Linked DNA regions of Callithrix jacchus. The protein of the gene in region 2 interacts with the protein of the main gene of each other region in a biochemical or structural test. Links are inferred from orthologs where the notes say so. Each region holds a gene or a part of one and is shown on either strand. Other genes may lie near its edges.

Region 1 (2,271 bases), on a different chromosome or scaffold from region 2:
GCCCAAATTAAGTCCCATGCTCATGACAGAACCAATCACGTGTGAGAGGTGGGGTTGGGGTGGGGGCTAAGTATTACCATGAGAGCAATCAGACCCACCACTAGATCAGAGGAAATGTGTGTGGCCAATTCCTCTGAAATCCGTGTCTCATGGGGGAGGAATGGATGTCTGGAAAGAATTGGCATCTCCTTGGGATAGCATGCAGGGTAAGATCCAGCAGTGTCCACTAGAGGACCCCTTTCACATAGGGCATGTGGGAGAAGCCAGGCACCCTGAGCTTGAGACAGAGTCGCGCTCAGTTCTCATGTCCTTTCCTGGGATAGTGAGTGAAGGTATGTGTGTGTGCGCACGTGTGTGCAGGAGGGAGGACTAGGGGATCGTTTGGACCCCCAAGGCTTCTATCTTCCCCTGTTGGTCTCTCCAACCCCGCACATCAGTCCCCACTCCAATGTGAAGAAAGGCAGCAAGCTCAGGAGAAGGACTCAGACTTGAGCCTTTCCTTATTGTTAGCATTTTATTTGAGTAGTGGACAGCTCTATCGTGTCAAATCTAGTACTTTGAGCCCTTGGATTTGCTGTTTTCTACATATTTCTCTTCCAGTGCTTTCTGCAAGTTCAGGTTCATAGCATTTTTCCGGTGCCACCGACCTACAGAGAGCAGGAGAGGAGCCAGCACAGATCAGATCATCCAGCAGTCTCGGGAGTGCCCAGGTGATGACTCATACCCCTTCCAAGACCACCCCTGGGCTCTGTCTCCTGCTCTGGTTTCTCTCTGAACCGTAGAGCCAACACACCCTGCCCATGGAGGACAGTTCCCACCTCCCATCACCCGCAGCTCCCCACTTACCCAGGTCATCCGTCTTCCTGCCATGCCACTGTTCTAAGTCCCGCACTGACTTCTCAATGACCTCTGGGGTGTAGGAAGCCTTCATGAGGCTCTGTGTCTCCTCGGGAGCCCCTGTGGAATACCATGAAGAAACCCCAAGTGCCCAAGTCAATGGCGATCGGATACTCCACGGTTTATATTGGGTGTCAGTTTCCTCTACAGATGGTAAATTGTGGAAGGGAAGGGGAGTGGGAAGGATTTTAAAGTAAAGCCAAACTCCATCCTTTATGGGCAGTATGACCTCAGAGAAGTTTTTAACCTCTCTCAGTTTTGGTGTCTTCATCTATAAAAAAAAAATGAGATTTTCTTACATGACTGGGAAGACAAAATTACTGGGCATACATCAGGGCATCTAGCAAGTGGAAACTAATACCTGTAACTTAAGCAAACTTGTCTCTATGTTCAAAATTCAAACACCCACAAGCAAATACGTTGCAAGGATCAAGAGTCAGCAGAAATGCCAGAGGCTAACTCTCCCAAATTAGCAAAGATTTGAATGATCAGACACAGAATACAAAATAAGTATATTTAATGTTTGAAGCCGTAAGAGAGAATAAAAGTATAAGTAAGGAATAAGAAACCATCCAGAAACAGCAGATAGATTAGTAAGAGAACAAACAGAATTTCAGAAATGAAACATATGATAATTGAAAAAATTAAACTCCATGGATAATAAGATGCCCGGGCAGCAAGCTCAGGAGAAGGAGCTTTAAATAATCTTGGGTAGGAGTGGATGGGTGGGAGAAAAGATGAAACAAGATCGCCTGTGTATTAATCACTGTTGAGGCTGGGTGGTGTGTGCAACATCTATTCATAAACTAAGTTCTTTTCTTTTCCATCAGTTTGAAAATTGCCATCATAATACTTTAAAAATAAATTCTATGGACAGGTAAAATGGCAGATCAAATACAGCTGAGAGAAAGTGGCAAACTGGAAGATATACCAGAATAAATGAACGTTAGGATGCAATATAAAGAAAAGAATATGGGACCGGGCGCGCTGGCTCACGCCTGTAATCCCAGTACTTTGGGAGGCCGAGGCGGGTGGATCACGAGGTCAAGAGATCGAGACCATCCTGGTCAACATGGCAAAACCCCGTCTCTACTAAAAATACAAAAAATTAGCTGGGCATGGTGGCGCGTGCCTGTAATCCCAGCTACTCAGGAGGCTGAGGCAGGAGAATTGCCTGAACCCGGGAGGCGGAGGTTGCGGTGAGCCGAGATCGCGCCATTGCACTCCAGCCTGGGTAACAAGAGCGAAAACTCCGTCTCAAAAAAAAAAAAAAAAGAATTTAAACTTCAGCCTCTGACTGGCAGGGTTTAAATCTCGACTCTAACCATTCCTACCTCTGTGGCCTTAATTAAGTTATTTAATTTTTCCATGTCT
Region 2 (4,281 bases):
TTAAATGCTGGGGATATAACGAGCTCAATACAGGTCATCTGTGTCAAATGTTAACTACGTACAATTTGCACGTTCTCCGTCACCTGGATTTTACTAATTCAATTATGGGTGGATGCAAAGATTTTGCTGATTGGTGAATCCTTCTCGTCAGCTTTGGGGAGAATACATAAAACAAGGAATGCTGGCGATGTATCTTCCTAGCCTATTCCCAAGCTCATTTTGAAGGGAAGCGGAGGCGCCCTGTCTGCATCGGCCGCGTTCCCCCTAGCGTCTGCCCGGGCCTTGGGCCTGCGCTCCCTCGCGGTGGCTCCAGGTGGCCGGCTGCGCGCCCTGGAGGAGCTGCGCCGCCGTCGCGGGGCCCACTCAGACCCGAGGACGCCACGCCCTGCAATTATTGGGAGCTTATCGGTAGCAATCACACGCGGGCTCCCGCAAACTGGTGTGAGGCCCTCCGGGGTGAGCACAGGATGGCAGAACTGCGCTCACCCTTTGGGAAGATCGCCCAGTGGCAGGAGTAGCCTGCTGGGAGCAGAGCAAAGCTGCTCAGTGGTCCCCTCGCCAAACAGGGACCCAAGGGGCCGCTCGAGGAAACGGCCCCGCGGTGTTCGGGAGGTGGTGTGGGGGCTCTGCAGCTGCCCGGGTGCTGTGACTTGGCAATGAGGGTTGGGGAGATTGGAACTAAATCCTGGGAATATGCGAGTCATAACATTCCAGGAGACGCGTCTACAGGGCGCCGGTCCTGGAGGGCGGGGAACCCTCTGCTTTTCCCGAGCAGGCCATTTTCCTGGGTGGACACGTGGAGTTCACGGGGAGGCCCACCTACAGCGTGGACGCCGATCTTTATTGTCTGCGTTCCGGGATTAGCCCCAGCAGCCTGACGCCTCCTTCAGAATAGGTTGAAACACGATACATCGCCAACTTTTCCAGTTTTATGTATTCCCCCCAAAGCCGACAATTAAACGTGATTCACCAAACCGCAAAATCTTTGCATCCATCCATAATTGAATTAGTAAAATCCACGTAATGGAGGTTGTGTAAATTGCAAATCGTTAACGCTTTAGAACTGTGTTCTATATTGCCTTGTAAAGGGCGGCACACAAATGAATATTCCCTGTCTTTTTTATTTCTACGGCCAGAGTCTACGGGCCCCATGCAAGTGAGGGGCTGTTCTGCCGAGGTGGCTGCCGCTAGAGCAGAGGATAGTGAAAGCGGGGCTGAGCGCCGCACCGACCAATCTCCTCGCCGCGCTTGCCCCTCGTGGAAGGAGCCGGGTGCCCGAACCTGGTACTAGAAGGGCCCGCGGGCCCCGGCGTCTCCCGGGACACCAGCAGTGGGGGTGATAGCCTGCGTTGTATGGCTAGGGAAACTGAGGCGGCCACCGAGGGGACGCCTCGCGCCCATTCTGGGGAGAGCCGGCGGCGGCCTTGCCTTGCGCGCTCCTCGCACCGCCCGCCCTCCCCGCCCGCCGGCCTCAGGATTGAGGAAGTGCGTCTGGGCCCGGCCCCGGCGCGCGGCCCGAGGCGCGGGGGGCAGACGGCGGTGGGAGTGCCAAGCCCGGCCCCGAGTCCCGGAGCGCCCGCACCCCGGCCCCGCAGCCGCCGCAGGTAAGTGCTGCTCCTGCCTGCGCCCCCGCCACCCCGGGGGCCTGGCTGCCTCCTGCGGCCGGGCCAGGAACCCAGCTGGGCCCGCGCCACGCGTCCGCGGGAAGCCCTGGCCTCTGCCTGCCCGCGGGCCTGAGCTCCAGGCGGCCGCGTGGTCCGGCAGGGGTGGCCCTTGCTCAGGGGCCGCAGCCCGAGGGGCGCGGAGGGCGTGGGGCGACCCCCGTCTGACGCCCCTGCTGCCTCCCGCCACGCCCGGAGCCCAGGCAGCCTGTGGGAGGCGGGTCTGCGGGGCCGGAGCCGTGAGCCCCCAAACCCTGTACCGGACGGGGTCGGGAACGCAGGGAAGCAGAGGCAAGAAACAAGTAGGGAAATACACCAGGGCGTCCATATGTTTCCTCTGCCTTTGGAGCAAACCCCGTCCTTATCGAGGAGCTGCTGGAGTGTAAGCGCCCGGGTGTGCATGTGCCAGGGTGTTGGCAAGAGACTCCCCAGGAGTCTCTCGCTGCTCCGGGGCGTCCTTGTGCTGCGGAGTGGCGCAGCGAGGCTTCAGCCTCCTTGGTTGATATTCTCTGGCTGATAGCGTTACCATTGCTATGTCTACCATGGTCTCCGCAGCCTACAGCGGACCCTCCAGGCAGGCAGGGACGCAGGGGAGGAAGCCTAGGAAGGCCGGGGTCAGCGGGAGATGATGGTGGAGAATTTGAGGACCGCTGTGGCCATCTCAGCCTACCCCTTCACAGTTTGAGGCCACGAAGTTTTTCTCCCACAAACACATCCCCTGCAACAGGTAGAGAAACAGGGGCACTCAGCTTTTAGCAAACCCTTTCACTGCCTACACTCATTTTAGAGTTTGCCACTCACTCACAGAGTATCAGAACGCCCAGACGTTAAAGAGACAGCAAGAATATGCACAATTTTGGAAAACGTTAACATTAAATGCCTCTTATGACCTGATTTTCTTCATCTTTGCCTATGCCCTGCAAGCAAAAATAACAACAAACTAACCTCACACCTAATTTGTTCCTAAAGGAGGTTTTGTGGTCAGCCAAAATGTCAATGTCTCCCAAATGTCAATGTCTCTGGGAGTGGCCTCACAGTCAACTCAGGTGCTCAGATCAAAAACATTCCGTCCATTGGATCCACCTCTAAAATGTGTCCTGGTCTTTCTCCTTTTTCCTTTTTTTTTTTTTTTTTTTTTTTTTTGAGAAAATCTCACTCTGTCACCAGGCTGGAGTGCAGTGGCACGATCCCTGCAACTGTCTGCCTCCCGGGGTTCAAGCAATTCTCCTGTCTCAGCCTCCCGAGTAGCTGAGACTATAGATGTGTGCCACCATGCCCAGCTAAATTTTGTGTTTTTAGTAGAGATGCATTTTCACCATGTTGGCCAGGATGGTCTCAATCTCTTGACCTTATGATCTGCCCACCTCAGCCTCCCAAAGTGCTGGGATTGCAGGCATGAGCCACCACACCTGGCTCGTCCCCTAAAAAAGGGGGCGGCCTGCCCCCCGCCCCTTCTCCAGAGTACCAGCATCTCTTTCTTGTAGGATTACAGTTCCCCCTCCCCACATAAACGCGAGTGTGTGTGTGTGTGTGTGTTTAAATGGGTAAATCAGACCATATCAGTCCTCTTTATGGAATCCTTCAGTAGCTTTTCCTTGCAATTGGCGTGCAATCCAGGAGACCTCCTTCTGCTCACAGCCCCAGCTGTTCCAGCCTCTGCTTTCTCAGACCACCAGGCCATTGCCCCCAGCCACCCTGGCTGAGCTCGCTGTCTAGCACTGGAATCTGTGTTGCTGCCTCCCAACTCTTCACACGGCCTCAGGAAGCCTTCCATGGTCACGCTCTGAAAATGCATGCTCTCTCTCAGGTCCCCTCACTCTGCAGCCTCCCTGCAGTCCCCACTGTGTACTCCTTCTTTATCTGTTTAATTTCTCCTTAATTACCTTGTGGTCTCTACTGGAGCACCTGGAGTCAGAGACTAATCTGTCTTGCTTACTGCTGCATTCTCATTCCCATAACGGTTCAGAGAGACACCCCACGCTCTGTGGCAGAGTGACTGGATGGGGAATGGACAGCCCTAACTTACCTGTGCTTTTAGACTCATGGAACACTTCTCTCCCCTAGGCTTTTTGTGCTCATCTGAGACTGAGAACAGCATATTCCTCTGGCCTGCACCTCCAAAGTATTTTGATGCCCACAAACCCATTAAACACATTTTGTAGGCAAGCCAACGTTAGTAAGGGATGCAAATAGCACTCAAGATTTCTAGAGTCGTGAGCTAACCATTTTGACCAGGATTTTGGTTCAAAAAGAAGTTGGATGATATGAATGAGCATGTCTAGAATGCTTTGTTGATAAGGGTCTTCTAACTCTTCAATATCGACAGTCCTTCCCAAGCCTTCTAAAATACTCGGGTTTCTCTGCTGTCAGAAACTTTATAGCAATTACTTAGCTCTCTGCTCCCCCACCAGCTTCACAAACTCATGAAGTTCCCTCCTCATAGAAGGAACTCAATAAGACATTTATAGAATGAATGACAGGTTCCTTTTTTTTTTTTTGAGATGGAGTCTTGCTGTATCGCCCAGGCTGGAGTGCAGTGGTGCAGTCTCGGTTCACTGCAACCTCCACCTCCCCCAGTTCAAGTGATTCTCATGCCTCAGCCTCCCAAGTAGCTGGGGTT

What was found.
Region 1: the proteins of LRRK1 (region 2) and CIMIP4 form a complex in vitro, tested with the Homo sapiens proteins (2 studies listed by BioGRID and IntAct, with this or other methods). The link is inferred for Callithrix jacchus from reciprocal best matches to the Homo sapiens genes LRRK1 and CIMIP4.

The regions. Positions count from the first base shown.
Region 1 is NC_133502.1:207,893,173-207,895,443, forward strand, and holds the end of CIMIP4 (ciliary microtubule inner protein 4), read right to left. Parts: intron 958-2,271; coding exon 847-957; intron 648-846; coding exon 550-647; 3' UTR 501-549; downstream 1-500.
Region 2 is NC_133507.1:9,061,650-9,065,930, reverse strand, and holds the start of LRRK1 (leucine-rich repeat serine/threonine-protein kinase 1), read left to right. Parts: upstream 1-1,481; 5' UTR 1,482-1,604; intron 1,605-4,281.